Linked DNA regions of Tribolium castaneum. The protein of the gene in region 1 interacts with the protein of each later gene in a biochemical or structural test. Links are inferred from orthologs where the notes say so. Each region holds a gene or a part of one and is shown on either strand. Other genes may lie near its edges. The genes, in order: mor, brm and Bap60.

What was found.
Region 2: the proteins of mor (region 1) and brm form a complex in vitro, tested with the Drosophila melanogaster proteins (2 studies listed by BioGRID, with this or other methods). The link is inferred for Tribolium castaneum from reciprocal best matches to the Drosophila melanogaster genes mor and brm.
Region 3: the proteins of mor (region 1) and Bap60 form a complex in vitro, tested with the Drosophila melanogaster proteins (2 studies listed by BioGRID, with this or other methods). The link is inferred for Tribolium castaneum from reciprocal best matches to the Drosophila melanogaster genes mor and Bap60.

What each region holds. Positions count from the first base shown.
Region 1 is NC_087395.1:15,647,959-15,659,285, reverse strand, and holds mor (SWI/SNF complex subunit SMARCC2), read right to left. Parts: upstream 7,085-11,327; 5' UTR 6,371-7,084; coding exon 6,254-6,370; intron 6,206-6,253; coding exon 5,972-6,205; intron 4,061-5,971; coding exon 1,562-4,060; 3' UTR 1,442-1,561; downstream 1-1,441. Other genes in the region: calcium homeostasis endoplasmic reticulum protein, read left to right, coding at 183-316, 445-804, 852-1,152; transcription factor cwo, read left to right, coding at 10,598-10,662.
Region 2 is NC_087400.1:7,706,113-7,716,877, reverse strand, and holds the end of brm (ATP-dependent helicase brm), read left to right. Parts: intron 1-407; exon of another isoform or gene 408-506; intron 507-711; coding exon 712-852; intron 853-958; coding exon 959-1,792; intron 1,793-1,839; coding exon 1,840-2,044; intron 2,045-2,093; coding exon 2,094-2,214; intron 2,215-2,262; coding exon 2,263-2,502; intron 2,503-6,321; coding exon 6,322-6,909; intron 6,910-6,957; coding exon 6,958-7,146; intron 7,147-7,212; coding exon 7,213-7,543; intron 7,544-7,594; coding exon 7,595-7,825; intron 7,826-7,878; coding exon 7,879-8,384; intron 8,385-8,439; coding exon 8,440-8,566; intron 8,567-8,618; coding exon 8,619-8,918; 3' UTR 8,919-9,053; downstream 9,054-10,765. Other genes in the region: cAMP-dependent protein kinase catalytic subunit beta, read right to left, coding at 9,058-9,286. UniProt on the Drosophila melanogaster protein: Transcriptional regulator. Acts as a coactivator, assisting one or more dedicated transcriptional activators of ANTC and BXC homeotic gene clusters. Can counteract the repressive effect of Polycomb protein.
Region 3 is NC_087395.1:25,848,163-25,859,252, forward strand, and holds Bap60 (brahma-associated protein of 60 kDa), read right to left. Parts: upstream 6,379-11,090; 5' UTR 6,162-6,378; coding exon 6,048-6,161; intron 6,001-6,047; coding exon 5,834-6,000; intron 5,746-5,833; coding exon 4,680-5,745; intron 4,631-4,679; coding exon 4,475-4,630; 3' UTR 4,394-4,474; downstream 1-4,393. Other genes in the region: Khc (kinesin heavy chain), read left to right, coding at 1-914, 1,013-1,170, 1,221-1,322, 2,713-2,830, 2,879-3,138, 3,204-3,421, 3,473-3,474; fibroblast growth factor receptor substrate 3, read left to right, coding at 6,825-7,450, 7,699-8,158. UniProt on the Drosophila melanogaster protein: Involved in the recruitment and site-specific anchoring of the Brahma complex at specific promoter sites.

The DNA.
Region 1 (11,327 bases):
ATTAATGTTTGTCGTGCTTGAAAAGTGAGACATTTGACGTTGATGGATCCTCGAAGCTGTTGAAAGTGTAGTGCGAAACCGAGTGTCCACTTTGTTCGATGTCTCAGATGTACAAATTAATTAAAAACTAGATTTTGTGAGTGTTTCCGACCATGTAATAGTTTTTGACACACTTATTCTAGTTGGAAGATACATCATATAAACCGTTAGATCCTAAAGATATTAGGTTGCCACCACCAGCGCCCCCTAGCGATCGTCTCCTGGCCGCTGTGGAAGCCTTTTATTCACTACCCAGCCACGAACGGCCCCGAGACAGGTAAAACATTGACAATTAGGTCACATTATTGTCTCAATTGACATTCACAATACAAAAAATACTATACTTTATAACTAATTATGCTGACGTGTCGTTTCTCTTATAAACAATGTGCGTTGTAAAAACAGTGAAGGTTGGGAAAAGCTAGGTTTGTATGAATACTACAAGGCAAAGAACAATGCGAAACGGCAAAAGGAGGAGCAAATCGCCGCCGGCCTCCGCGAGAAGTCCAGAAGCCCAAGCCCCATAGTCCTGCCAATGGAGAAGGAGCCGTCGCCGCCCAAACGACGGTACACGAGCAAATCGCCCTCGCCGCAAAGGCGCCGCTCGAAGTCCCGGTCCAAGTCGCGCTCCAGGTCCAGGAGTCCGCGCACGCCGCGCAGGAGGCACTCGCGGAGCGGTGGCCGGAGGCGGAGGAGCGTCTCCAGATCGCCCTCCAGGTCGCCAGTCAGGCGCTCGCCATCCCCGCCGCCAACCCTAAGTTTCAGGTACAACTGGCATTTTCAAACGAAACGACCACTCACTTTACTTGCAGCAGTGCACCACCGAGTTTCGTGCGGAACGAGAAACAGGAAATCGACTCGACCAATAAGGGACACCAGATGTTGCGGAAAATGGGGTGGGGCGGGAGCGGCTTGGGGGCCAACGAGCAGGGCATCGACGCCCCCATCTCCGGGGGGGACGTGCGCGATCGGCAAGATCAGTTCAAAGGTGTAGGGTGTAATTTGAACGATCCGTATGAAAACTTTAGGAAAAATAAGGGGGCCGCGTTCATTACGCGAATGAAGGCGCGGGCCGAGGAGAGAGCCAATGAGAGTAAGTTACTTGACTACTAGGGTCTTTCATTATTTTGACTGCGTTTTCGTACCGTATTTTCCGTGTTAGAGCATCATTTTTTACTTTACTTTAATCAAACGTAATGTTCCGGTACCTCTTTGACTGTTATGTTGCGCAAGTGATTCTCACGTATTGTAAAGAAAGGTATGTAAATAATTGTAATGTACAAATCTACGTCGACTAAATAAAAATCCTATTTTTAATTAAGTCCACATTCATTGTATTATATGAGAATAAATTGTTCCAAACAATTTTGGTTTTACTGTATGAGTGAATAAAACAAACACCCATGTTTCGACAGTTTAATACAAGAACCACAGATTTGTGACCTACATAAAAATAAAAACCCAATATAAAGCGAATAAATCAAAGTTACGATTTTAATACCTTCATTAAGACTTAGCCTACTTATGCTAGATGATGGGGGGCTGCCGGCGACGCCACGGCCGCCGCTTGTGGACTCGGGGGCGTGGGCGTGTTAGTCGGGGCCCCCTCGTTGGGCGGCGCTGAATGCGTCATTTGCGGCTGTTGCATCGCCCACTGGCCCTGATCCGCTTGCAGCCTCTGATGCGCCTGCTGGCGGGCCCTAAACTCGGCCGCTTTCAACTGTTCTAAATGAAACTGTTGCCGTTCCGTGATCAACTGTTGCCTCTGATACTCCAAACCCTCGCGTTCGCGCTCCATCGTCGTCTCCAACTCCTCAAAGTGCCTCAACTTAATCTCCAACTTCTTCATTTGCGTTTCGACCAACAACGCAACCAGCGACTTGATCTTGCGCTCCTCAACCGCCGCCAGATGCTTGGCTTTGACGGCGGCGGCAGCCAGAGCCGCCGCCGCCGCGCTCTGCATCTCGCTGTCTTTCACAGTCCGTTCGGGCTTCCGCTCCGGTTCCTCCGGCTTTTCGGTCTTGACGGGTTCGCTTGGTGTTTCGCTCTTGACCGGCTTGTCCTCCTTCTCTTCTTTTTCCGGCTCGGGTTTCTTTTCTTCGCTTTTCTCTTCTTCTTTATTCTCGGGTTCTTTCTTGATTTTCTCTTCTTCTTCCTTCTCGGGTGCGGTTCCGGCGATTCCGGTCATGGCCAAGTTCGCAGCTGGGTCGTATTTGCCTTCGGTCGAGCTCGCTTCCACGTTTTTCAAATGCGCGTCCATCACGGCAGCTGGGACTTCGTCCTTGATGTTGGCGAATTCGATCATTGCTGACTTGGCGGCGGCCGCAGCCACGCGCGGGTCGACAATGGAGGCGAGGAACGCAACAGTTGACATGATGGGGTTTCCGGCTTTGCTGAACGGGATTGGCTGGTAGGCCAGAGGGCCTAAGGCGCCCCCAGCGTCTGGGTCTTCCAGATACGGGTCTTCAATCGGCAAACGCAGGAAGTGCAAAATGCACTCGTCTTGTGTCCTTGAGCCGACGTGTTCGCAAACTTTATTCCAATCGTCTTTATACATTTCTAAACCTTCCAATAGTAGAAGTGTCTCTTGTTCGGTCCAGTCTCGAGTCAAGGACGCTGCGCTTTTGTTTCTCAAGGCGGCCGGTTTCTTGGCATATTGGTCCAACTTCAGGCCGAAATTATTCATTTGTTCGCTGCCGTCCCCTTTTTTGATGTCCTGAGAGCGGTCTAGGTCTAGTAAGGTTTTTGCCGCGCTTGGTTGTTGGGTTTTTGGGGGGTTTACCGGTTGGAGGCCCGACGGTGTGTCTGATAGAATATGGAAATGGGACGTGGGTGGTGGTCCCATGGGTGTGGGTCTCGAGTCAGTGTCGACTTGATAGTTGATCAAACCCCATTGTTCGAGGAACGCATGGACGCGCATAATGGCACAAACATCGCCGGCTAGATTTCGACGGCAGGCCGTACTTGTGATATATTCAGTCGGGTTTAATCGGTACGTATCGATCATGAAGTTGCGGTAGGCGAGGTAAATTTCGGGCGTTTTCGATTTATTCCGCCCATTGAAAAACTCAGCAAGGGCTCGTTTTTCCACTTCGTGTATCGCGTTATAGTCAAACCATGCCGAATACGATGGTATGATAATATGGTGGGTTTGTTCAGTAACATTATCCTCCTGCCCATCATCCTGGGTATTACTATCACTGTTTTTACCATTTTGCGAATCTTCGCCTCGCTCTTCGTTTTCCTCAAGATCGGTGACTGAGCCACCCTTCAAGGGCTGCAATTCGTGGTCTTTCTTACTGTTCTGATTGGCCATCGACGAGTTAACCTCGACAATGTTCGGTTCGGGCGTCGGTTCCTCCATATCTTTCGTCAAATCTTCAGTTTCCATGTCCTCAGGTCTCTGCTTCTTGCCGATGGCGGGGCTTCGGCCACTTTTGCGCTTCCCGCCTTTGGACGGTGGCGAAGGCGAGCGTTTCCGCTTCTGTTTCTTCTTCGACCTGTCGTCGTTCGACGGGTTCATAACATCCTCGACGGACATCCGCAACGGATGAATCTTCTTCTGGCCCAATTCGTTCACTTCGTAGTCTTCTTCGGACATCCACTCGTTGTAATGGTCGGTTTCCAGCAACCAAGAACACGAGACTCGCCACGCTTCCGTCCTGGGACTCGGCACGTCGTTGCTTAAACCCTCGCCGGAAATGTCTAAATTGATCCAACCGTCGTACGAATTCGGGAAGTAGTACCAATGCATCATAACCATCTTGTCGCGTTTGAAGACCGGACGGCCGTATTCCTCCTCCACCGGGTCCACAGGGGGGTAGCAAATGTGCGTGGCCATTTCTTCAGTTTCCGCCACTTGAGCCATTTTGCGGCACACGATTTCGCGTAATTTGGCGGCGAGATTCTTGTCGATTTCGGGCCGGATGTAGACAGACGGAACGGTGTAGAAGCGGTTCTGGACCAAGACCTTCTCCATGCACTTCAACATCTCGAACACGCGCTCCAGCTTGCCCGTGCTCTGTTATCAAAAAACAAATAAAATGTTCCATTACCATCTAAGTTTTCAGAGCAATGAATTTGAAAAAATGATTTATTTGTGTAACGGTTAGCATAATAGAAACAAAAAAAATACAGGCAGATAGAGCATTAAATTCTAATTAGTTTGCTCAGGAACAAATAATTAATTAGTAAATGGGGCTCCGAGTCGTTTTACGTGTAGATCACTTTTTCGTAATTTTTGGCAAACTGGAAAAATTAAAACATCCAAAACTACGAATTATAAAACAAACGTGAGGACAGATACGGAATCCTCAGTCAATTTTACGTAAGAGAGGCATATTTTTGACCTATATTTTTGATTATTGTGACCTTGATTATTTTTTTATTGGCAGATAAGTAAATCAAAATTTTGATTAAGTTGTTTTATTCGATTTATATTCAGAATTTTGACCCGATTGTTACTAAATTTTGTGCAAGAATAGGTAATTAATTAGTAAAGAGGGCTACAAGTCGTTTTTAAAAGTAGATTTATTTTATTTGTTTTTATTTTTGGTAGACTGGAAAAATGGAAATCCGCCGTATATCGTCTAAAATATCTTCAAAACTACGAATCGTAGAACAAAAATGAGGAAAAATTTGGAATCCTCAGACAATTTTACGTTAGATGGTCATATTTTTGACCGATATTTTTGGTTATTGTGATCTTGATGATTTTTTTATTTGCAGAAAAGTAAATCAAAATTTTGACCAAGTTGTTTTGTTCGGATTATTTTCAGAATTTTCATTAGATTTTCACTAAATTTTGTGCAGGACTAGATAGTTGATTAGTAAAGAGGGCTACAAGTCATTTTTACGAGTAGTTTTAATTCTTTTTATTTTATTTTTTGTAGATTGGAAACATAGAAATCGACCGGATATCATCTAAAATATCTTCCAAACCACGAATCATAGAACAAAAATGAGGAGAGATTCGGAATCCTCAGACAATTTTAGATTAGATAGATTTTTTTTTATTTTTGGTAGCTTGTAAAAATGGAAATCGACCGTATATTGTCTAATATCTCCAAAACTACCAATCATAGAACAAAAATCAGGAGAGACTGGGAATCCTCAGACAATTTTACGTCAGCTAGACGTAATTTTTACCTGTATTTTTGGTTATTGTGATCTTGATGATTTTTTTATTGCCAGATAAGTAAATAAAAAATTTCACCAACTTGTTTTATTCAAATTATTTGCACAATTTTGAATCTATTGTTACTAAATTTTGCACAGGAATAGGTAATTAATTAGCAAAGAGGGTTACAAGTCGTTTTTACGACCAGATCTAGTATTTCTATTTTTTTATTTTTGGTAACTAAAAAAATGGAAATCACCATACATCAGTTAATATCTCCGAAACTACGAATCGTAAAACAAAAATCAGAACAGATTTATCAGAACAGACATATTTATGACCTATATTTTTGGTTATTGCGATCTTAGTATTTTTTTATTGACAGATAAGTAAATTAAAATTTTAACCAAGTTATTTTATCCGGATTAATTGCACAATTTTGACTGGATTGTTACAAAATTTTCCTCAAAAACAGATAATTCATTAGTAAAGAGGGCTACAAGTCGTTGTTACGAATAGATCTATTTCTACTTTTTTAAATTTTTGCTAACTAGAAAAATGGAAATCATCTAATATCTCCAAAACTACAAATCGTAGAAGAAAAATGAGGACAGATTTGGAATCCTTCGACAATTTTACGTTAGACAGACATATTTATGACCGATATTTTTGGTCATAAGATGATCAATTAGCAAAATAGGGTTACAAATTTAGCTGAGTTTCAAACCAAAATTTGTAGGTTCCACCGTACAGAAAAAGAAATAATTATGGAAAATACTATTTTACGCCAAAGTTTTAAGACAGGATACTCACTTTGCCTGTTGGTATCTCAAACCGGCGCCAATTGTGCTCGCTCTTGAACTTGTACGCCGCCAACAGCATGTGGCACAAGGCGCCCCCGGGCTTAAAATCCATAAAATACCGCACCGGGATGCGGATCATGGGCGGCTTTTGCACATTTTTGCCCAAAAAGTCCTCCTGGAATTGCATCAATTGCAAAACCAACATGGAGAGACTCTTATTAGTGACAGGTTCGGCTTGAAAATACTGAAACAACCACAATGATGGGGGCACTCACAGCGCTCAGAACCTCACCTTTTTGCCATTCTTCTGCAGCCACTGCCTCACAAGCTCGAGGGCCGCGAGGGTTTCCGGCGATTCGAAGTATTTCACGTTAGGACCGCCGTCCTTTTTGGGGCCGTAGCCCATCATTTTGCCCACAGAAGAATAATTCCCGACTTACGAAACTACCGTATTACTGAGACTTAACTAAATTGTACATTACTTTGGTAAACTTTACAGAAATATACAAATAAATAGCGTAAATTTAGCGAAATAAACCGACGCTTGAATATCACAATAATGTCAATTGTCAAAATGCGAAGTATGGGCAACCAGTAATACGTTATCCGGGGCGGGAAATTTGAATTTCGAGCGTGAGCGTGTTTGCAACACGTGCCCACGCTTCACGGGCCGATGCACGTTCACTGTCATGGACTGGAAACGTTCACATGTAGGGAAATAACAGATCAAAACAACTTATGTAAGCCGAAACGTGTGAAATGAGCGGTCGTGAATTTTCCTGGCGTTACCTAACAGCTCACGTGAAACGTGACCGCAGCTGAGGCATTTCCGAAAAAAATCGGGTCTTCGCGTTGTCTGAAGCTCGACGGGCTTATGCTGGGCCTCAAACGGGGGCGAAACTGCCAGTTTTGGGGCTCGGGTACCTCGCCCCCGTGGCCAAAAGTTTCGCTCTGATAGGTGTAATAGGTAGGGATCACGTGGGTCTCCACGTTACTTTGAACGTGATCTCTGGTTTGGCTCATGTGCAAACAAACAAACAATCCCCGCGTTACGTTCCGGTGCACGAATGAGCTCGCAGCAGTGGCGTGCACTGAAATTTTTTGGCAAGGAAAAAAAAACAGTTACAAAAACTTACCTCTTTGTGATCTAATTCAATTCTCCTCCCTTTTTCCTAATTCCGTTATCACGACATGTTTATACACAATATTGAAGTAATGAAGCACCAAAAATGAGAACATACTAGCTTACTAGCATAGGATATACAAACCAAATTTTTGCTTCTATTAACGTCACTTGGGTAAAAGTTACAAATTAACAAAGCTGACGCCTATACTAGGTATTCGGTTCAGAAAAAAGCTTAAAAATAAAAACGAGCGCTTAGAGTATTATTATTAGACCGCCTCGTCTCTAGATTGTTTTAAATTATAATTAAAACTTACGTAACTGTGAATAGTTCATTCATGGATGGAGAAAGCGCAGAAACGTTGAGAAGCCATTTTTTTTTATAAGCTAACATCAGAAAAAAATCATATTTATAGTTTTACAGAATAGTTTTGCTGAAATTGGTAAATGATTTTATAATTAATATAGTTTATAATATTTTTTTTACATTAGCTTTATTTTTTTTTATTATATTTTACCATTCCCCTATCTGGCGTTAACTTTCTTGTGTGTCCTGTGTTGACTGATATTTAAGTTCGCGACTTTATTAGAAAAATTTTCCTAGTTTTTAGGTCTAGCTCAACTAAAAAAAAAAAACACTAAAAAAGCCTAAATTCCTTGTCAAAATACCTTTCATTTGAGGTATTTCGAATTGTGAAGGTGTTGTTTTTAATTTTTTAATACAAAAGAGGTAGGTGCTACAAATTTCGAAAGGACACTAACAGGTGTCCCCTGTAAATAAAAATTGACCTGTTTTCGGATTTACTAGTTTTTTTGTTTGTTTTCTAACATCCAGGGTGATTCGTTAAAAAAACAATCAGTTAAAAAAAGGATCATTTTTTATCACTTTTCATAATATTTTTTCTTCATGAAATAGAGCATCTTGTTTGAAATATTGTCAGTAGAGTTCAGTTCTAACAGAGATTTTTCTTTTACAAAAAAATCAAGCGTTTAGAAGTTATTTCACCCCAAAATAAAATGTTTTCAAAAATTGGATCACAAAAATTATTTATTATTTATTATAATACAGAGCCGGCTCTACGGACCGTGAAATATATGGACGGAGAGGCAAAAAGGATCCACAAAAAAAAAACTTTAGGTGGTCAATAAGAAAAGGGCTAAAAATTTAATACAATCCATTTTGAAAATGGTAACTTTAACTGAGATTTTATTGCAAATGGGTCTATAAACGCTAAAAAGTACACCCTATTCTATTAAATACAAAGATTTTTGAAATTTTTTTTAAGGTTTGGCGTTTAATTGATTTTATTTTATCAAAATTTTGCAAAATATTATTAGCATTTTTGGACAAACAAGCTGTTCAAATATAAAGCCGAGTCAAAATTTTTGATACAGTTATGTGATTTTTCAAACCTCGGTGATACAGTTATCGGAATAATTGCGTTCCTGGAAAAAAAACCGTGTTATATAACGTAGAAATGGTAAAATTGTATCATTTTCGATTTAATTTATTCATTTTTCAGCCAGATTTAGCAAAATTCTGATTAAAAATATTTTTATTTTTTATTAGTGATGAAAAGCTCTTTTTTTGAAGTAGGTAATTTTGAGATTTTTCAGCTAATTTTTCGCGAAAATTTGGTAAACAACGTTTCTGACTCAAAATTTAGCACATTTTGAGTCAGAAACGTTGTTTACAAACAAAATAAATGTAGTACTTACTTACTTTTCGGATCAAATTTAGCGGATTTTTGTGAAAAAGGCAAAACAATTAAACATTACTTTGACTTTTACGCTTATTATAAACAAAATTATTCAAAATAATCGCGTTTCTGAATAAAAAACGTGCTAAAACGGTCGAAAAATGAAAAAATATTGAAAATCTTTACTTATTAGTTTAGTACCTAATTATTCGTTCTATTTTTATAAATTCTCGCAGAAAAAAAAAAAATAAAAACCAAAAAATAACACTATTCTCGAAACGATTCGGTGATTTTTTAGAGTATTTTTGATTAAATTTGGCGAGGTTTTTATAACTGATTTTTAATTTTTGATTTGACATTCTGCCTTAAGCCATTTCAACAATAATGCAACCTAACACCGAAATTTTCAAAATACTTTGTGTAAAATTCCTTTCGAAATACCTACACGATTCGGTTTATATTGAATGTATTTTGCGACAAAACAGTTTTTTTGTTGTAGATTTAAATTAGGAAAAGATAATCATTTAAATTGATTATATTACTTTTTTATCTTCGTAAATTTTGCTGTCCCGTCCGTTATTGCAAACATATTATTGTTGCTTTTATTTCTTATGTTGTGAAACAAGACCAATAATTTTTTATTACTACTGTATAATTTTGAGATTGTTAAAGTCTTTAATAATTAAAACCAGTCGAATGAATTTTTTAGAGTCCTACCCGTCATGTGTAAATAAAAATTGCTTTACTCTTCGATTTCGTGATTTCAAAAGTTTCAAGAAGTTCCACCTTTTATTTAAAAAATAATTGTTGGAATTAATTTTATAACAATTTTTCAACGATGAAAATGTGAGTTTTTTTTGTGTCCCGTCCGTCATGAATTTCTCTTTCCTGCTCGAATGGTTGTTTTCCGATCAAATTTAGTAACCTTTCAGATGATTTTTGAGAAAAAGGCAAAATTTCGATTTATTATGAACAAAACTATTCAAATTTAAAGTTTCTGGTTAAAGCACGTGCTAAAATTGTCGAAAAAGGAAAAAAAAGATTGAAAATATTTACTTATTAGTTTAGTAATTGTTTGTTCCCTTTCAACAAAATCTCGCAGAAAAAAATAAAAACTCAAAGCAACACCATTTTCGATACAATTCGACGATTTTTCAACGTTTTTAATTTCTAGCTAAACAGTGTTGTAAAACATTAATTAATAAACACCAAATATTTCTCATTCTCCATTCACAAATTTTCGGCAAAAAACTGAGTCTGGCTTTTTTAACTGCTCGAAAAAGTGAAAATAATGCAATTCTCGGTCCAAGAACAGAAGAACGTTAGAATTTAAAAGTAGAGCCGGTAAAATATGATATGCACCCAGCCGTCGAAAGGACCTAGTGCGGTCCTGGTGGTGATAAAATGTCCCGGACTTTAATTGAACATAATTTTTAAAAAATTGTGTAGTGTAAATATTTCGAGTTGGTTTCTCGTATTTTCCACCCAAGTCCTGCGTCAGTCCGCACGCCCCTGCGTCGCAGTCTTCTCCCGGAGTATTCCGGCGAAAATCCGCGCTTATCGTCGAAAATCCGGCGAGCGCCAGTATGTGTTCGCCGTCACGTAGAGTCGGAGGCAGCGCACCGATTTTTCCTTGTCTTGGATTAAATCCTCCGCTCACGTGTACTCTAGCGTGTTCGTCGGTCGGTATCAGTGGCCGAGGAGTAGATGAAAGTGAAGCGCCTTTGCGATCGCCGCCTGCGACGACACCTGTCTCAAATCTCCACCGAATTTCCGGAAAAGTGCTATGTGCTGCTGAACCGTCCCCAGGAAAATGGACATGACGCAGGCTTACTGGGAGGAAAACTCGGCCAACATTCAAAGGGTCAAGTACGAAGGGTGAGTTCTCGCCGAACGACGCAAATTCGCAATCAAACCAGTTTGTGCAAGTCCATTCAATTATCGCACACATCCAAGGGGGCACCGGACCCCACGCCGCACACTCGACGCAATATTATTTATGCAGGAAGTCGGCGTATTTTCGGACGCGCACGTGATAGCAATTAACACATCGGCCAAAAAATAAACACCCCTTCGGACAGGGCCGGATTACGCGCTGCAAGGCCTAATCAAATTTCAGCTTAGCCAGCGCACGTGGACTACAATCAACACTTTTTACCTTTGTTGCAACAGACGACTCTATTACCTCATTAAGAAAATTGGTAGCTCAATTAATTCAATTGCTACGGACGGATGACCCACATTTTTGCGCCATATGGTCCGTTTTTTCGAAAATTATTCGCGCCAACACCAATCACAGACACACCTTATCGGTGGCATTAGTCCAAACAGAAGCAATAAAATAAATAATCACTCCCATTATATAAGAAATTGAAACAACGTGCACAACATTTAAAAGGAAATTGTTGGCATGTTTAGTCTCTCTCGTAATTGCAGTTCCATGATCAAAAATTTTTGCGAGAGATTCGCGACAGGTGCTTAAATGTGCCAGTAATTCGATGCCTAAAGATAAATATTTGTTCCATTTTTAGCCCCGTTTTCGC
Region 2 (10,765 bases), on another chromosome or scaffold:
ACGTTTCTACACTTTGAAAAATGTTTTTCTCTTGAGTTTCAGTTTTTGTGGTTTTTCAGGTAATAAACTCAAAAACGTGTAATATTAAAAACGTCTAAGTTGTCGACCGAATTCTGTGATTTTTCAGATTATTTGTGACGAAAGTTCACTCAAAAATAAATTAAATTAAGTGAAACACGCAAAGTAACATCAAATTTGTTTTTTTTTGTAATTTTGAGGCGTGTTCTGTTACTCCACTAATTTGGATTTATTTTATGGTTTTTAGGCGTTTTTTGATCACATCTTGTAAAATAAAGTAAGTACCTGACTCAAAAATACTTGGTGACGTTTGTTTATGGACGCGTCATTTTCACTTTGGGTGACTGTACCTTAGATATTAGATAAAAATTTGTTTAATTTTTGCTCACCCTGTTTCACTATTATTGCCTTTCCTTCTATGCTGTGCTGAATTTGTGCTTGCTCGTGCTGTTTTGTAGTAGTATTTAGTAAAACTAGCATGCAAAGTATGTTTTGTAGAAAGTTAAACCTAAATAATAAAAAAAAACGATAAAAACACAACTTTCAACCGATAAAAACCCAATTTGAGCTATTAAAACTCGACGAATTAGCATTTTAATCGGGAAAAAAGTAGTGTATCAGTAGATAGTAGTAGTGCAATGCATGTGTTTAGACAATAATTAAAAGAGAAAAACAAAATTACCGAATTTATAGGGTGGTCCACCCGCTAGCGAAGCTAACGAACCACTTCCACCGGAAAGTGGCGCTGCTTCACAACAAGCGATGCGACCTCCGGGACCGCCCGGATCCCAAACGGGACCCGCTTCCGGCCCTCCCGGACCTGTCCAACAACAGGTAAAACTACATCACAAATTACCAACACTGTAAAAAGCATAGCATTCGAGCAATGGCAATAATACAATTACGAGCGTAGCTAGTAAGTGATTGAAATTTACTTTAGCCTCAGCTACAAGGCGTCAAACCTGGGCCACCTACGACCCAACAGAACGCCACCGGTATCCGGCCCGGAGGACCAAACCAACCGAACCAAACCGGAAACCAACAAACCTCAACCAAACAAAACCGCGTAACCACCGTACCAAAACCTGTTGGTATAGATCCGGTGGTTTTGCTACAGGAGAGGGAAAATCGCTTAGTGTCGCGAATCGCAGCCCGAATGGAACAGTTGAGTAATTTACCCACGAATATGTCCGAGGAGTTACGAATTCAAGCTCAGATCGAGCTGAGGGCTTTGCGATGTTTGAATTTCCAAAGACAGTTACGGAATGAGATAATTGCGTGTACGAGACGTGATACAACTTTGGAAACTGCTGTTAATATTAAGGCGTACAAAAGGACTAAAAGACAAGGTTTACGCGAAGCTAGGGCTACTGAAAAGTTGGAGAAACAACAAAAATTGGAAGCTGAACGGAAGAGAAGGCAAAAACATCAAGAGTTCCTTACTAGCGTCCTTCAACACGGTAAAGACTTTAAAGAGTTCCATCGCAATAATCAGGCCAAGTTGGCGAGGTTAAACAAGGCCGTTATGAATTACCACGCGAATGCCGAACGCGAACAGAAGAAGGAACAAGAACGTATTGAGAAAGAACGTATGAGGCGACTTATGGCCGAGGACGAAGAAGGTTACAGGAAATTGATTGATCAGAAGAAAGACAAACGGTTGGCCTTCCTCTTGTCGCAAACCGATGAGTATATCGCCAACTTGACCGAAATGGTCAAACAACACAAACTGGAGCAAAAACGCAAACAACAGGAGGAGGAGAAAAGGAAAAAGGTAATTATGTGTACCCCACTCGTACGCTTTGACTTAACCGATTCCAGAAGAAGAAGAAACGAGCCGAAGGTCTCTTGGCTGATGGTTCCCAAGGTCCTGATCGACCGGTTACTGTGGTTGAAACCGCAACTGGGAAAAAACTATCAGGAGAGGATGCACCAATGCTGAGTCAGTTGCAAGAGTGGTTGTTGCAACATCCAGGCTGGGAGGCTATGGATTCGGACGATGAGGATTCAGAAGATGAGGAAGAAAGTGAGTTAAGTGAAAGGTATTGTCACGTTTGAAAATAAACTTCTTCCAGTTAAAAGAAGAGAAGATGAGAATCGATCCGAAGAAGATAAAGCGAAAGAACTTATTAATAAAGCTAAAGTTGAGGATGATGAGTACCATAAGAATGCTAACGAAGAGCAGACTTATTACAGGTAGGTCCCGTCCTAAAAATTTCCGGTATGTATAATCCATAATTTTAGTATTGCTCACACTGTCCATGAAATTGTAACGGAACAAGCTTCCATTATGGTCAATGGTAAGTTGAAGGAGTACCAAACTAAAGGTTTGGAGTGGTTGGTGTCACTGTATAACAACAATTTGAACGGGATTTTGGCCGATGAGATGGGGTTGGGTAAAACCATTCAAACTATTGCTCTGATCACTTATCTAATGGAGAAGAAGAAGGTCAACGGGCCTTATCTCATCATAGTACCACTGTCGTAAGTTATATTTTTGCTCACATTTTTTAGTTTCGCAGTTTTAAGAACCTTCTATTTGATATTTTAAATTAAATTGATACGTGGTTTCTTGTTTTTGAGATAATAATTTAGTCTCCTGGAGATGTAACAGTTTTCGGTACAATTAAACAAAGTGGTTGGTCTTTAGACCAGTCATTTTAATAACTCCAGGAAGGAATAGCCTTCGAAAGGTTTTTAAACGCTTTTATTTAACTTGCTGAGTTGTCTCTGCTTGCGAATCAAATATATGTACCGGTTATCCGAACATACTGAAATTTTGCATACATACGTAATTTCCGTGACAATATAATTTAGTTCACTTGTTACTTGTTTTATTGGTATGGGAGTGATGAATATAAAGAGAGTTAAACCCGACACACCAAACTTTTATTGCTGTACAAGTACAATAATAATACAGGGTGCTCAAAAACTGGCCCACCAACTCAGTGGTACGTTATTGAGAAGCAAGTGCAGATTACGGGAAAAATGTTGAAAAAATTCCTAATGTCATATTTTAAAAAATCTGGAGTTACAAACTTATTGTGTTAACTTCTTTAGTTTTCATTATTTTTTTATATTTCTATGTTTCATACCAGGTAATCGTTCCGTAACAAAACGATGAATAATTATTCTTAAATTTACTATCACATTTTATCAGTTTTTTTAATTTAAAAAAAATCACAATGTGTAGATGTGCCAACACTGGGAATTGTTTCCTAGGAAACCGTTTCAAAAATAATTTATTTTTATTGTTGCTCAAATTCGGAAGTAAAATTACCGTTGGGGACGCCACTGAGCTAGGTCGAAAACAGTAACCATAAATGGCGGGAAAATGTTTATTCGGATATTTTGAGCGTTGTACGAATTTTGGGGCTTCACAATTATTGCATTGCCTATGCGGAATAATTATTGCATCTTTGATGCAAGAAACTTATGTTGACAAATGAGAGATGACGAGGAAAACACGAATAACGAATGACTGTTTGGTTCACTTTCTTTATTGGAAAATTATTACAAAGACATTGAAAAGCCTACCTTTTGGCATAATTTACGTTTAAATATATCAGCAGTTGTTAATCTTTATTGTAGTTTTGTAGATTTACCGCAGCATTTCATGATTTTTTCAGTGGAAAATTCTAACCTAAAATTCATAACACTTTGTGTTCGCTGTGATCCATTACTTATAATCTTTAATTAGACAACTGTTTGATAACACTTTGTAATCAAAATTTAAATATTTTTCACTTTTTATCCACTTTCAAGTTCCAACAATAAACACTTTATACCACGAAAAACTACAGAACCAAAGTCAACGTTAGGATTTACCACCACGTACTTTTAAAGTAATTCTTTCTATTGTAAGTAATTAACACTATACACGCAAAATTGTTGAACAATTCATTAAATGTCAGTTAAATGTGGCATTACGAAAATTTCTTTACTGTTTTCGACATAGTTCAAAAGTCATCACCAGAGGGCGTCTAGTTAATTTTATTTCCGAATTCTATTGCGATCATGACTGTTAGACAACGTTGCCACATATCATTTACCTAAAATTAGCTATTTATCAATAACTTTAATACAAAGAATTTTTTTACTATTTTTACTATTATATGTAACCACTGCTCTACCACACACCATTGAGTTGGTGCGCCAGTTTTTGAGCACACTGTATAATAATAAAAAATAGGTTTGTCGAGTTTAAAATGTATTTGTGTTCAAATTTAGTTATAAATAATTATCAATATTTCGGCTCTTAATTGAAATATCGAGATGAAACAAACACCATTCGATAGAGCAGAAAAAATTCTACAGATGAACGGAAAACCAGTTTCCTACCGCCCACAAGAACAATGATATTAACGTCTGAAAATTTCAGAATCGCTGTTTGCGAACAGAAATTGCGATTTTTAACACAAATGTAATGTTGTCTTAAAAGATCTATTTAGTGTTTCCCAACCGGTGGTTCGCGTGTATAAAGGGGGTTCGTCCAAAGAAGCATAATAATGGCGGAATTTTATAAAATGGATAAAGTAAAAAAATTCAAAATAATAAATTTAAATAAATCTAACAGACAAAATTGGCATCATCTCATTGTCTCTGTGTTTTTGCCCCATTTTTTTTTTGATTAATTGTTTTCATTTTCATGATTCAAGATTCATCAAAAATTAGACTTTTACGGATTCGAGATAGATTTCTGTTTGTTGAACGCATTTTTATCGAACACCTGAGAACAGTTATTACCAATTTGTGCTTATGAAAACAGAACTCAATTGTTATTATTAATAGGAACAGACATAATATTGTATTATAATATTATGGACAAAAATCAGCTTTTCGTACAAAAAGTTTAACGAAAAAGGACGCTTTTACTGCAAAAAAAACTTATTTGTCGAAGGGAACAATAATTATATGTTATGAAAATTGATTGTCAGTTTTCAGTAATTTATTTGAACTTAATTGGGTTTGAAGTTTGAAGTTAGAGCAAATTCTAAGGTCTTCTTTAGACTTGGTTTAAAATAAAATTGGTACTTTTTTTATTCATTTGTCTCACATGATTATTTTGCATTTTCGTTACTTAGGAAATTGCAGTGTTAAGTAAGCACTTTTTGTCTTCACATTTGCATCAAAAACTGTTATCTAATACGTAATTTCACCTTATTTCTGTGTTTTCGTATATATATTTTTATATAGGATTTTTTGCTAACATTAATGACATTTTTTTAAATAAATCAAATACTGGACCCAACTTCTTTTACTAAAATTGCTCCGAATGAATTGGTTATGGAGCCAACGATAAAACTATTTAACATGTCTGTTTAAAGAACTCCTCTTGCAAAAGCATTTACTGTAATCTGTTCCCAATTTTAAAATAAAAAATATAAAAAATTGGTATTACATTATTCGTTTTTTTTTAAATTTATATTCATTAACATTCATTCAGTTCAAAATGTGCAACAAAGAAAATATATGTCCTATCAAATTTTATTGTCTTAAAGCAGTACAAGGGGTTTGCCAAATTCTGTCGGATGTTAGAAGGGGTTCGCAAGGTGAAAAAGGTTGGGAACCACTGATCTACTTAATTATGTTTTTATATTATCATTTTATACATTTGGAAAAAATTGGATATATTATTCTGAGTATAAGCGCTTTGAATGAAGCTTTGCTTAGCTTCTGTTACAGTACTAATATTTAACTTCCTTTGTTCTGTTTGTTTTATATTTTCCGAGATAAGCTGAAATTTTGAATACACCCGTACTCTCCGTAGCGATAATGATATTTACAATATTTATTTTAATAAATAATTAGCAGTTATTATAATCAATTATCACTATATTGACTCTTAAATCAACACTATTCGATAACCAATCTCCTATCACACACAAGAACAAAGATATTAATGTTTGATATTTTCATTATCGCTGTTTGGGATAGATCGTGTTTCGGAACAACCTAAAATTTTGCATAAATATAAATAATAATAATAGTAATATAAATAATTTAAAAAAATAAATGATTAAAAAAACACAAGTAAACAATAATATCGTGGTTTACGCAGATCTTAAATTAAAAAAACAATCTTTTATAAACTTGGAATGGTATGATAGTCAAAAATAATTAGGTAAAATGCTTTTTCTGGAAAATCAAACAAGTTTTACCAATTTAAATACTTAATTAGCAATAATTGCTTCTTTTGTCGTGGTATTCTATTTTTTTAATGGCTCATTTAATTTCGACCACAATTTTTATTGCCATAAAATTAAACCCACACTAACTAGTATCGTCCTTTAATTTTACCAGAACTTTATCCAACTGGGTCCTTGAGTTCGAGAAATGGTCCCCCTCAGTGCAGGTCGTGTCCTATAAGGGCTCCCCGGCAGGCCGTCGAACAATCCAGAGCCAAATGCGTTCGACCAAATTCAACGTCCTTCTCACCACCTACGAATACGTAATCAAAGATAAGGGAGTTTTAGCAAAACTCCCATGGAAATACATGATAATCGATGAAGGTCACCGAATGAAAAACCATCATTGCAAACTGACCCAAGTCCTAAACACGCATTATTTAGCCCCTCATCGCCTTCTCCTCACCGGCACCCCTCTCCAAAATAAACTTCCCGAATTGTGGGCCCTTCTCAATTTCCTCCTCCCCTCGATTTTCAAAAGTTGCTCGACTTTCGAGCAATGGTTCAACGCACCCTTTGCCACAACCGGCGAAAAAGTCGAATTGAATGAAGAAGAAACGATTTTGATTATTCGGCGTTTGCATAAAGTCTTGCGACCGTTTTTACTCAGGCGGTTAAAAAAAGAGGTCGAGTCGCAGTTGCCTGACAAAGTTGAGTATATAATCAAGTGTGATATGTCAGGGTTGCAGAAAGTTCTCTACAAGTGAGTTGGTGTGTTTTTGGGGTTGGGTGAACAATTTTTGGGTTCTAGGCACATGCAAAGTAAGGGTGTCTTGTTGACTGACGGTTCCGAAAAGGGTAATAAGGGTAAAGGGGGCGCCAAGGCCCTAATGAATACGATCGTACAGTTGAGAAAGTTGTGTAATCATCCCTTTATGTTCCAAAATATCGAGGAGAAGTATTGTGACCACGTGGGCATTTCGGGAGGAGTCATTTCGGGGTTAGTTTCGAAAGCTTCACTCCGATTGACATACGATTTTTTTTTTTTTTTTTTTGGTGGTTATAGGCCTGACTTATACCGAGCGTCCGGAAAGTTCGAACTTCTGGACCGAATCCTCCCCAAGTTGAAAGTGACCGGTCACCGAGTCCTACTTTTCTGTCAAATGACCCAGCTTATGACCATTATGGAGGACTACTTATCCTGGCGTGGTTTCGGTTATTTGCGTCTAGATGGCACCACCAAAGCTGAGGATCGTGGCGACCTTTTGAAGAAATTCAACGCCAAAAACAGTGATTATTTCTTGTTTTTGTTGTCGACAAGAGCCGGTGGTTTAGGTTTGAATTTGCAAAGTGCCGATACGGTCATTATTTTCGATTCGGATTGGAATCCACATCAAGTAATGGATTTGATGCGATTTTACCACTCGTTTGTTAATTGGCGATTTTAGGATTTGCAAGCCCAGGATCGCGCCCATCGTATTGGCCAACAAAACGAAGTGCGCGTTTTGCGCCTGATGACTGTCAATTCGGTTGAAGAGCGGATTTTAGCCGCCGCTCGGTATAAGTTAAACATGGACGAGAAGGTCATCCAGGCAGGGATGTTCGATCAGAAGAGTACAGGATCGGAGCGGCAGCAGTTCCTGCAAAGTATTTTGCATCAAGACGGCGATGAGGAAGAAGTAAACTCTTCAAACGCTGGAGAAGAGCTTCCTCTTATCATTATGTTTTTTAGGAGGAAAACGAGGTCCCTGACGACGAAACCGTCAACCAGATGGTGGCGCGTTCGGAGGCCGAGTTCGAGCTGTTCCAGAAAATGGACCTGGAGCGAAGACGCGAGGAGGCGAAGCTGGGGCCCAACCGGAAGCCCCGCATGATGGAAATAAGTGAGCTTCCGGATTGGTTGGTGAAGGATGACGATGAGGTTGATCCTTGGAATTATGACGAAACGGAGTCGGCTTTGGGGCGGGGCACCAGACAGAGGAAGGAAGTTGACTACACTGACAGTCTGACGGAGAAAGAGTGGCTCAAAGCGATTGACGAAGGCGGAGATTACGATGATGAAGACGATGAAGAAGAAAAAGTCAAAAAGAAACGCGGGCGCAAGAGGAGGAAGAGAGGAGACGATTCGGATAGTGAGGTTGGTACGAGTAAAAGGAGGAGGGGGCAATCGAGCGCCGACTTGAAGTTGAAACGCCAAATGAGAAAATTAATGAACATCGTAACGAGATACACAGACAGGTAAGAACGAACACACGAGTTGCATACAATATTTTTCTACGTGTTTTTTGTGTAGTGACGGCCGGCTTTTGAGCGAACCGTTCATGAAATTACCACCGCGGAAAGACTATCCGGACTATTACGAAATTATTAAAAAACCGATGGATATTAATAAGATTTTGGGCCGAATTGAGGACAGCAAAGTGAGTTATAGTTAAAATCGTCAGTGTCGTATAACTGAGCCAATTTTTGTAGTATAACGATTTCAATGACCTCGAACGCGACTTTATGCTTTTGTGTCAAAACGCCCAAATCTACAACGAAGAAGCGTCCCTTATCCATGAAGACAGCATCGTTCTTCAGTCGGTTTTCACAAATGCGAAGCAACGGATTGAGTCGGGAGTTCCTGACTCGGACGATGATAAAGACGAGGATAAATCAGACAGCGAATCGGTGAAAATGAAGATCAAACTGAAGAACAAGAAGACCAGTGGTCGGCGCAAACGCGCCGCGAAGAGATACGTCTCGGATGACGACGACGATGACGATGATTGAAGTATTTGATTTAGTTAAGGTAGAAACATCTATATAAGTGTAATACTTTGATTTTTGTATTTATTTTTGAAGAGATGTAAGTATAGGTTGTAGGTATGTGGTCTATCGTAACACTAATACACAATTTGAAAAGAACTCTTTATTTTGTTGGTATTTTTATTTCTGCAAACTCCTCAGCAAACTCCTCCTTGGAGCTGGTCCTGAATGGCTCCTCGTCGTAATAGTCGAAGTTGCTAGTGTCACCTGCGTCTCGAACTTTGGGTTTGAACGAGGGTTTGACTCTGCGACGCAAAATCTGGTCGAAGTCCACGCTTTTGAACCACTCGTGCCCTTTCACGTCCTTGCTCCCGTTTTTCAAAATCCCATACCTAGGAAATGGACGAGTGCCTTTTTCTCAATTTAAAAATAGTTTTTACATTATACCTGCGGTAGTATAACTTTAAGTCAAGTTTTAATATTAAACCTAAACATTGTAAGGTAGATATAATGTACAGGTTGTACGAGAAGTAATGACACAGACTTGAGAGCCAAGCGAGTGAGAGTCGGGTCGACCCGATAGTATTGAGAGCAGTTGTCGGTTTTCCGACACTGGGTGTGGGTGTGTGGAAGCTGGAGGGTTGTGAAAATTGATAAATATTTCGTTCAAAATATTGACTACCGCACTTGAATTGTTTAGCGAAAGAAATAAAATAATAATTTTTTTAGTTGGAGAGTCTCATAGAATATACAGTTAAAAACATTAAAAACAACAGTTGGCTTGATTCTGGGTTTTTGTCCAAAGTCAACAGTTTACAAAATACAACCATTTATTAATTTATTTATTAATAGACGTAGAAGTTAAGAGTTGATGAATTTTTTTTCAAGAAATGAGTTCAGGTTATTCAGAATTAAATTAATCGTAAATTAAAAATTCATTGCGATTAAATCGGTTTTTGAGAGTAAGTCATTGCTTTAATTTCAAACAAACAAAAGAAGATGAATATAAAATGGAAATGCTCTTGCACATGACAAAGCAGGGTGTTTCGAGTAAAAAACTAACAAGTCGAGGGTGTATTTGATAAAAACCGTTTATTATAAAAACAATGTAATAATAAATAATAAAATTAATTGTAAAAGTTTAAATAATGAAATTATTATTCTTTTTAATATTAACGGTCGGTTTACAGATAGCGAAATTAAAGTTTAATTTAGAATTAAACTAATTCCACATTAAGTTGCCATTTAAAATGCATTGACAAATGTCAAGTTGATCTCGAAATTAGTCACGAAATGAATAAGAAATACCTCGGAAGTACTGGTTATTGTCGTTCCCAAAAGCGATGAATTTTCTTTGAAAATATAATCCAAATTTAATAGTTTATGACCACTTCAGGAGGTAGCAATCATTTGGGGAATCCACAAGGGACTTTCTATTTTACCTACTGTTCTTCGCTTATTTGCTTCATATTAAAAACCATTAAATTCAAATATACACATAGTTGTTAATTGTTTAAAGTATGACAAACTACTGTATAATTTTTTAAACTATATAAAAATTATCATAAAAATTGAGATAGTGTTGTCTTTACTGTTTACTTAATTTACGTTATTTACTCCTGAAATAGGTGTTTCATTTTCAAATTTCCTCAAAGAGATGAATATTTACTGGAATCAAAAAAACTAATGCAAAATCGGTAGGTAGACAAGTTTGGGATGAATCATGGGGTCCTAATCTTACCAGTGTTAATTCTAAGCACTCTAAGGCGGTGCCATAATATTTGGGTATATTGTAAACGAATCTTTTTTTATCACATTAAACAAGCTTCAATTCCGAATAAGGCCTGTATAAACAATTTTCATCTAGGGTG
Region 3 (11,090 bases), about 10 Mb from region 1:
TGAACGAACTAACCGAAGCTGTGACTCCTGTCTCTGGAATGGAGGAAAGCACAGTGGAGAAACAGGGACCTGTCCCGGCAACCCCAGCCCTCATGATCGGCTCAACCCTCGATGTGGAAGAACGCAGGAAACTGGAGCTGGAACGCGAGCGACTCTACCAACAACTGGACGAAAAAGACGAAGAGATCAACGAGCAAAGCCAATACGTTGAGAAACTCAAGGAGCAGATGTTGGAACAGGACGAGTTGATTGCAAGCACGCGACGCGACTACGAAGCGCTCCAAGCGGAAATGAACCGAATCCAGCAGGAGAATGAGAGTGCCAAGGAGGAGGTCAAGGAAGTCCTGCAAGCGCTTGAAGAACTGGCCGTTAACTACGACCAAAAGTCGCAAGAAGTGGACGCCAAGAACAAGGAGATGGAAACCCTGTCCGAGGAGCTGATGCAGAAGCAAGCCAGCTTGAATACCACGACCACCGAATTGCAGCAATTGCGGGACATGTCGAGTCATCAAAAGAAGCGAATCGCCGAGATGTTGAGCAATTTGCTGAAGGAGTTGGGCGAGATTGGGTCGACTTTGGGGAGTGACGGGTCCGAGATTAAGATCTCCAATGATGCGGCTAAGCTGGAGGAGGAGTTTACGGTTGCACGTTTGTATATTTCGCGGATGAAGAGTGAAGTTACGAATTTGACGCAGCGATTGCACGAAATTGAAAACAAGGAACAGGATAGTAACAAGAAGGTCACGGAGTATGAGAAGGAGTTGGGGGAGTGTAGGTTGTTGATTTCGCAACACGAGGCCAGGATGAAGAGTCTACAAGAGTCGATGCGCGAAGCTGAGAACAAGAAGCGGATGCTGGAGGAGAGTGTTGATGCCTTGAGGGAGGAGTGTGCGAAGTTGAAGGCCGCTGAACAAGTAAGTTTTTTAATTCGAGAGAGAAATACAATTCAAAACATCTCGAAATTAAAAGAAAAAAAGAGTGTTTACAGGTTGCTAGATTAACGTTTTTGCAGGTTTCGAGCGCCAGCGAGAGCGAGAAGAAGGAAGCGAACGAGCTGCGATTGGCTCTCGAGCAGCAAATGGACCAATTACGTGTCGCTCATCAGAAGCAAGTGGCGGCGTTACGCGACGAAATCGCCGAAAAGCAGCAATTGATCAACGATATCAAAGAGTGTGTTACGTCATGTGTTTTTTGTTTTGTTTTGATTTGTTTTTTCACAGTTCGAACCAGAAGTTGTCGCTCGCCCAGCAACAGTTGCAGTCTGAATACGAGAAAGTCAAGTCGGAAGAAGCCGAAAAGTCGCAGAAATTGCAGGAGCTCATGTCAGTAAAGTGTAAACGCTCATTCCCGTGTTCCCCCAAATCCGCCACAAAACTCTTACCTCATCCTTCAAGTCCCGATTGGGAGAAATTTTTGCCTTATGTCGATCCAGTGCCTAAACATGCAAAAGACGCGTTGAATAGTTTCACAAAATTGGCGAAAAATCAATGCTCGATGTCGATTTTTCACATACATACGTTCCATTTGCATTTGTTTATTTCCCTAACTTTGTTATTGGTCACACATAGGTGTCCACAATATCTAGTCGTTGTCTAAATCTAGTCGCGGGCGATTTTATTATATTGTGATAATTTGGTGCATTTCGATTTGAAACTAATCCATTCCTTTGAAAAGTGATTTTTCCTGTGATTTATTTTGAAAAATATTGCGTAGTATTATTTTTTATTTTTTTAAACATTTTTTGGCATAGTCACATCACGCCACTGTTTGGTTTTGAGTTTTATTTTATAGTTGATACACGTGTGACTAACTAGTCAGTGGTTACGAAACAAAACAGCACAGTATTTTGTATTTTTGCTTTGTGATGAGGCCATTTAACTAAAAGGAGCCGCGGAAAGCCCGATTTAATAAAAACAAAAATGCTGATACAGCCAGTGACTACGTATATCTTGCTATTGCCAAGTTATACTGTCGCAAAATGGCAAATTTTTAATTATTACTTATTTTTCTTTTGTTGAATTTATCTAAAGTCTATAGAAGGTGGATCAAGGTGAGTCTGTTCAAAAACAAATAAAAAAAATATATTTCATATCAAAAACTGATTAGTTTTTGAAATATAGCAAACGATGAAGAAATGTTTTAAATTTAAACTTAAACTGAGAAAAACCACAAAAAAATTCTGGAAACTTGATTGAATATAAAAATAAAATCAAAATTTGGAACATTAGATAAAACAAAATCAGGGCATTATTTAGTGCAAGATTTTATTCAAGTTTTTCGAGTTTTGTAACATTTTTTTTATTATTAAATCGCGGCTTGTTACCGGTTTTGCATATCACTGTATAAAAACGAATCAAAAATTAAAAAAAACGACAATAGCGAGCTCAAACTTTGGATCTAAGTGGTCTTGTAGTATTGTTGTATGATAATAATAATGTAAATAAGAGAGTGTTAGCAATAGTGTATAAAAAATCGTTGCATATTTTAAAGGCAATTATTTTTGAATTTCTCGTAGTTGAAATTGTTGACTATTTCTAAACCTAGACGACCTGTCTGTGTTATGTGTTTGTATTGTTTTCGTTTTGGTTTTTGTCGAGTAGTAAGCGTAATATTTTTGGTTGTCGTGTGACGACACAAATAAAACCTGACCAAACAAATCCGTGAGCGTGGTGTGGCTTGAATGCTGAAACGCTGATGGATAATATTCTGCAGTACCACGAACGAACGACGCGAACAAGCACGGAAAGACCTCCGAGGATTGGAAGACACCGTCGCCAAGGAGTTGCAAACCCTTCACAATCTCCGAAAATTATTCGTCCAGGACTTACAGGTGGGTACGAGCGACGTAGCGACGAGTGGTGAAACAATGCTGTTGTAGGCACGGATGAAGAAAAATCTCTCGGCTGAAGATAACGAAGAAGACGGCGGTTCGTTGGCCCAGAAACAGAAAATCTCGTTTTTGGAGAATAATTTGGACCAGTTGACCAAAGTGCATAAGCAACTTGTGAGAGATAATGCCGATTTGAGGTGCGAGTTGCCCAAGCTGGAGAAGAGGCTAAGGGCGACCATGGAGAGGGTGAAGGCGCTGGAGACGGCGCTCAAGGAGGCCAAGGAGGGCGCCATGAGGGATCGCAAAAGGTTGGCGCTCACATTTTTCTCAATTACGGCAAAATCGCCAATAAATGTTTTGTTTTTTTTTTCAGATATCAATACGAGGTGGACCGGATCAAGGAAGCCGTCCGCCAAAAGAACCTCGCTCGTCGCGGCCCTGCTGCAACAATTGCCAAGCCTATCAGGTCTGGCCAACATCATGTTGTTGTTGGTGGCGGCGCTGCGATCCGTACTGGGTCTAACATGGGCCAGAAAAACATGGAAATTGCGCGAAAACGCGAATCACTTATCATAAACGAGAAAGACGCATGTGAGTCTTGATTTAATTTTTTTCTCTAATTTCCTGAATTTTTCCTTCCAGAAACGGTGCTCTGATCACTGGGATACCAAAAATATTGCTGACTACTCGTACTACGTAAGCCGTGGAACAACACACGACTTACATTTTTGTGCTTACTTGCTTAGTTATCCTAGAATTAAGGTGCACTTATTGAGACGACAAATTGTTTCTTAGGTCGGTTTTTAGTGCAATTGCTAAGAAATAATTTGTGGGTTTTCCTGTCGCATGTCGCGCGCTATTATAATCATGGTGGTGTAATAACGATTCAAATTTTCCAGGCTTAAATCGTGTTTTGTAATATAAAAGTGGCATTATTTTAGGATTTTAGTTGTCTCTCCTCTTGATCAAATGGTCTAACTAGCACGTTTAGGTAATTAAGTAGCACATTTTACACAACTGGATTATTTGTATAGCCTGATTGATGTATTTTGTATAAATTTGTTTACGATTGATTGATTGCTTGTAGTGGTCTAAGTATATATTTTTTTAAAACGATTTTATTTTGTTGTTTTTCTCAATGGTGCAGGTCGGACGGTTGGCTTGACGGGCGCAAGTGCTAATCGCTCCGATGCAATCTAATTTCATTGTGATAAGTAGCAAAGTTTTGTTCTTCCGTCAAAGACCCGATTGGTGCACAATTGCATTTCTAATTTATTTGTTTTTGTTGACTGTAGATAATTGTTTAGTAACAGTCTTTGGTACAGCTGTCGTAGTTGTGTAACGAAACTGATAGTGGATGCTTGAGTCAATAATGCAATTTATTTATTTAAATGATGGAAATTATATTCTAATAAACTAATACAAATTTCCTGTTTGTTTCCCTCATTGTTGCCGAAAATTTTTCACCCTTATAGGAAAAAAATCACTGAATTTTTGAGGAAAAATTCTCCAGCCTTAGTGAGTTTGTTTTTGGTTATTTGGAGACATTTTAAGGAAAGTGACTTGAGTTAAAAATGCAGTTTATTTATTAAATGCTGGAAATTATATTCAAATAAACTAATACATATCTCGTGCTGGTTTCGCTCAATTGTTGCGAATGCCGAGTGCTTGCTCCAGTTCGGCCCTTTTTTGCTGCACCTTGGTGTAGAAATAGCGACACACGGCTTCTTGCGCCCACGGTTGGTAGAAAAAGTCGGACCTCCGCTCCTCTTCAGGATTGCCCACCACATCGGTCATACACTAGAACAAACGTGCGGAAAATGCCACTTTTCCACCCTAATACACTCACTTTCCATACCTTCAAATCCCTGGTTTGTGACACGATCCACTTGTAAATAAACTGTTGCGGATCTTTGGCAAAACTCAAGAAAAACTCACGATTTGTTTTCAATTGATTAATCGTATCGACAGTTTCGTGAATTTTCGCATCCAAACCTTGGATCTCCTGCTGACTAGCTGTGCTCAACAGGAAATTATTCATCTGAGTTTTGAGCGTATCGTCCACCTCCACGTCAATATCGTAGCAGGCGGTTTGCTTGCTTTCGGCCCCGCCCTCCACCGAGATCACGTGATTGATGACGATAGGGTCCGGTGGGTGGAGCAACGGGTTTAAACGTTGGGGGATTTCCGCAAATTTCATCCGAGGACACCCGAAGATCTGCTCGAGATATTTATCACACACGATGTATTCGCGTTCGTGGGCGTCTTGCAATCGGTGCGTTTTTATATACTGCCATAGGGCGGAGATGATAACGGGGCGTGTCTGCGTGTGCACGCCCAATAAACGGGCCAATCGCGGGTCGAGTTTGAATTGTAGCGGTTGGTAGTCGAGTAACAAAAGAATAGTGCACCGCACATTCTTATCCCCAGGTCTCTTGACCTGGAAACCGTCTGTTTCTTGAGTTGTTAAGGTACGGTGCCATTCCACCAAGTGGTTATCAGGACCGTACAACTCCTTATCGAGCTCAATCACCAACGATTTGAAAAATGACGAAAATTTGCGTTTGACTTTATTGGGGTCACTTTTCGAGTCGTCTAAAAGGCGGCCCTCGACTCGCAACTCCCAAGAGGCCACGGAGCCCTCTTGTCCAGGGCCGTCTGGGCCCTCGGCGCACGCCTCTTTGGCTGGATAAAACGTGTTAGAGATGAAAATCCTCAATTTGCGTTTTTGTTTCATTGGACGTTTTAACGCCTCTTGAATATCCAACCGTTTTCTCATTATGGTCGAGTCTAATTTACGCTCAAACGCGAGTAAATCCATGTAGGCCTGGCTTTCGGGCACCAAATCTCTGACTTTTTGGGGCAAAATCTTGTCGGAAAGCTTCTTCTTTTTCTTGGTTCCATGTGGGTAATCACTGCCAACAGCGTAAACGATTTTTTCGAACAAATACAAATATTTGAAATAAATAAAAATAACAATTCTGTATACTCCCAATTGCTTACCTCTTTTGCTGCATGACGGCCCTGTTGTCCGGGGGCCGTTTAACGCCCGGCTGGGGCGGCATGGGCCCCCCTCGCATGGGCGAATAGGGGGCTTGAGGGGGCCGCGGCATCATAGCGCCCGGCTGGGCCCCCATGTTCGGGGGCGGGGTGTTGTACCCTGTCCGTTGCTATAGTGCGAATTAGAAATAATTGGGTGGAAAATGGGGAAACTCACCGGAAAATTCTGGGCTGGGTACTGGCGCATTCCCGGATTTTGGGGCGGGTAACGCTGGGGTGGGGGCCCCCCGGGACCTTGGGGCGGCACGGGGCCCGCGAAACGCTGGGCCATGGCCTTTTATCACTTCTTAAGCACAAAAAACACACAGATGCGTCCCCAGTTGCCCAGTTTCGGTCTTGTGTGTTTGGTGGGTTTGGTGACGAAGGTGTGCGTGGACGAAATTGTTAATTTGATAAGGAATTATCAATAGTAAATGTGTGATTAAGAACGGTTTTGCGACCTTTGGGTTTATTGAATCAAAGTTTGGGAAAAAAATACGAAAAAGGTGTGAATTCACTATTAGGTTTTGTGAACATTGTGAGATTGTGACCAGTTGAGCTACTAGTAGGGGTACCAACACCGTTGTTTTTCCGTATTTTGTTTAAAAATTTTCAGAAAGGTTGTTGGGTTGTTTACGCGTGTTGTTGTGGGTGTTTTGGGGCCCGTGGGGTTGTTGCCGGTGGTCAAATGAATTTATTTTCGCATTTTTTGTGTTTGGTTGCCGGCCTGGTGACAGAAGAACCATGATGGCGTCGCTGTTTATTATGTGAGAACTTCACATAAAAATTGGTTAAAAAACCCCGAAAAACTCACAACAAAATGTAAAAACAGTAATTTTTGGTCAGAATGCCTGAAAAGCCACGTGTCCATGCAATCAAGCTTTGAGCCAAACCTAGTAAGTGCCCCCAACCAAATAACCTTGATGTTTATTTACCCCTTACTCCTAGGTAGAAAATGGGTTGTGTTAGCAGCAAGCCCGACATAAACGATCAACACCCGAACATTTTCGACGTATCCAACGTCAACGACCAAGGCGACTTGGTGAGCCCCGGCAAGCTCGAAGTCCGGGAAACTGAACTAGTCCTACACCAAAGAGGCAAAAACCCCACAGTGTGGCCCCTCAGGTCGCTGCGCAAGTACGGCTTCGACTCGGAAATTTTCAGTTTCGAGTGCGGTCGCAGGTGCCCCACTGGCCAAGGCATTTATGCGTTTAGGTGCCGCAAGGCTGAGCAACTTTTCAATATCGTCCAACATCACATTGTACGTAATTCCGACGAGAACCCCCTTATTAACGCCATTTCGGACTTTCCGGCCGTTTCCACGGGGCCCCCTGTGCAGCGACGCGCCCCGTCCCAGCCCGAGGGCTATCTCAATCCGGTGGGGGCCCCCAGGCCGAGTCTGAGCCGCCCTGGGTCCATCACCAGCAACGGCCCGGTGAGCCCCACGACGGCCGAGTCGACGCACGAACACAATAATAATAAGAGGGGCAGTTTGGGGGACCACCAGTACACCAATTCCAGTGTTATTACTGAGTTGGAGGCTCCCAATTATGCCAACTTAGGCGCCGCAGCCCCCGAGGGGTAAGTTGCTAAAGTCCCAGATTTATTTCATTTAGGGCGCTTTTACCGATTTTTTTTACACATTTTTGTCAGTTAGATTGAAATTTTGCTAAATAAACAGCTTTGCCAACTGTGCCACTTTTATATTTTTTTTCTTCGGTGAATAATTTATAATTTTCTGCCTTTAAATAATAATAAGTTGGTGATAAATTAAAAATTTTAATTTGGCAGTTTTGATTTAAATAAAAATAAAGTCACTGGGTATTTAGATGTGGGGAGGAGCTGCGCCCCCTTGTGGAGAGTCCGTGCCACCTGTACATGAATGTGGACACCGTTGGAACCAAAGACTCGGATCCTTCCGAGGACAACGCAAGACATTGCTACGCCAATATAGACACCAAAGATTTAGAACATTTAAGGCCGCTTTTGTCGGGGGCGGAGGCGCCAAGTGTGCCCCAAACGCCCACCGCGCTCTATTTGACTGTCCACGAAGTGAATTACGCTGAGCTGGACTTGGATCCGGTGAAAAGCGACGTTTCTACCTCTCAAGTGACGCCAGAAAGCCCCCACAAAGCGAAAAGTTACGCTACGATTGATTTTCAAAAAACTAACGCTCTCTCGCAATCGATAAATCCGCCAATGGAGGTCGAAGAAGGCAGCAGAAAGACTAGGCATAATTCTACAATTAGTGATGTTACGACTAGACATAGCAACTCGCTAAGTGACTAACACATCGAATTGTAAAATTTTGTGATTCTCATTGAGTTTTTTTTTGTTTGATGAGGTGACCAGTACGAAAATTTTGTTTTTTTAGTAGAGTAGTTGGAAAACATCGATTTTTTGGAATGGGTCATCTCGTTAAGTACTTGTGATTATCTACCAAAATGTTAAACTTGCCACCTTTTTTTTGTAAGGATACAAATTTACAAATGCCAAAGATATTTGATAGTTGTTAATGGTTTTAAGTAATGGAAATGAAAAATGACGTATTATTTTACTATATTATACATTGCGCAAAAAGTAATTAATTATAGAACAGTTGAATATATTATATTTAATTTTTAATAAACGATATTTTACAAATTACGAGTTTTATTCACCGCATTACTCATCTCGTTTAAGCCAATTGACCTTTGCTCTCACTTGGATTAATCTAATTTGGTCCAACTGACTGTCATAGAAATTTAGCGCCAAAAATATTACAGATTCCTGTAGTTTAGCAAAATTTTGGGATTAAAATCAACAAACTCAAGGTAAGTGAGTGTGTAATTGCGATTTCGCTTTAAAAACCTTCTTACCCGAATATCTGTAGCCCCAATTTCCGATAATTATTGGTAGAAAACTGGGGATTCCTAAATTCTAAAGTATGGGGTTGGCACTATTGTCAAATTTTACGTATTGGACGCTTCGTGTTCAATGACCGTGTAATCTTTATTTTTTTGCCGTTTTCTTTACAAAAATGAGTGTTTTCGTTGTTAATTTTCCAAAAACATTAACAATAATTGTGATTGAAAGTGACTGTAAGAACATTTCTCCTGGAACTACCCTGATCCCTGGAACTACCTTTTGGACGCTAAGGACTTCAGGTAGGACAAAAAATGGCATGGATTTGGTTTAAACGCCTTATTTTGCAAAAACATTGGTTGTTTTACCATTTGTGATAGTTGAGATCTCTTTAAAAAAATTAAATTTTTTTCTCGCGAAAGAACCTCTGCTGTCAATCGCATGGTGTATTTCTGGTTGCCTACACTCAAGACATTAAACAATTTAAACATTTGTATGTGTTTAAAGGCATTAATTTTACGAAAAATTGGTTTTTGCTAACATTTTTTAAGGTTGAGTATTTTTCTGCTGCAATTAATCTACAATTACAATTTTGTATTTTGTTATGCTGGCTGCCTATGATTTCCCAAATTTAATTTTTTTATGGTTTAAACTCATATGGCACGATTTTTAGTATTATGGCTGTTAAGAATTTGGCAGAATATTATACGGTTTAATTTTTGACGAAAAAAATAAAGAAGTACATTGTGTATTTTTGGTTGCCTGCCTCATTTAAAAGTAAAAAATTAAATTTGCCAACTCTGTATGTATCTATGTTTACTTGTGTGACACTGTTATTTGTTGTTAAAATTAAAAAAAAACTATTAGAATTAAAATTGATCTCGAAATTTTGGTTGTGCCTAATTGCGTCCAATTAGCTTAATTAGAAATTGCGGTTTGAGTGCATTTTTTGCGCTGGTGTTAATCACCTTGTGGCAAGACATTACACTGCACCTTTGGTATTTATCTTATTAGAAATTTCTAATAGCGTTTGCAAAAACGCAGCTTCAGGTTCTAATTTATATCCCTGGCAATTATTATTAATCCGCGTATGTTTTGCAGTCATGAAATAGCAACGTAAAAACGTCTATGCAAATGATTTGTAAGGTGAACTGCAATGTTGAATGGATCATATCCGGGCGCTGATTGGCCGCCCGGCGACAGGTTGCTGGCGTCTGATTGGTTGGTGGTTTATTTGGGCCCCGCCTGCTTTGTACCTTCCTATCGGCAGGTGCAAAGTTACGTTGTTAGGTGCGCTGTTGCAAAATCGCTCATTCATGTTTTGATTTGTTGCAGAAAAGTGATAAAATATCATTTTAAATGTCACTCCAGTTATGATGATGGTAATTATGAGTTTGCGGTTTTTGCTAGATTCTATGAAATAATTACGACACAAATAACTTGAGCAGAAATCACATAATAATAGCAACCTTCGGTTCGCGGAAAAATGCGCAATGGAGTCATAAAATCCCACTGCATTTCCTGTGCGAAAATGTCATGATTGGTCTTTGAGCAACGGTTATTATCACGCTAGCGTGGAGTTTTATGTTAATTTATTCCAGAAGTGTTTGGTTCTTGGAGATTTCAATGCCACTGGATTTAATTAATTTGATTTGTTTTAACTGTAATTTTGCTAGACTTTGTTACCGCTTGATTGTGGTTTAAAGTCGATTTTTGAGAACCAGTTGGTGATTTCAACGATGGGTCGAAGTACACTCTTCTATCGAAAAAGTTAATTTCTGGCTGTTAATTGGTAATTACTTTTAATTAATTCGTTGCTACATAAGTACAGACTTTGTTTTAAATTATTTCCAAAGAAAATCTTTTAAATGTGTTCTAGAATCGATGATTTCAATGCTTGATTATGTCACAAATCTCACTGAAAATTGCTAAAATTTGGTTATTCTATTAATTTAATTCAGCTAATTTAATTAATTTAAGTGGTGTTTTAGTGTTAGTCGAAACGTTATTAGGTGTTTACAAGGTCAATTTTGTGGTGACTTCAATGATACATCAAGCTAGATTTATTTTTGACTGAAAAAATACTGAAAAACGATGTTTTAGTTGGTTTTTTTAATTATTATAAAACCACTCAGGTCGAAGCATTTTTTTGTCAAATATTTAATGAAAATTGTTACAAGATTCTCAATAATTATTGAATTAATTAAATTTATTCTTTATTAGTGTTATAGTGTTGAACTAAATGATAGTTCGTGGTGAGTTCAATGCTACACAAAACCACATTTTTGGACTGAAAAATTGTTTTTTGAAATTGTTTTTGAAGACATTCTTGCATTTTTTAATTCGAAATAAATGATTTTATAGACATTTCCGAATT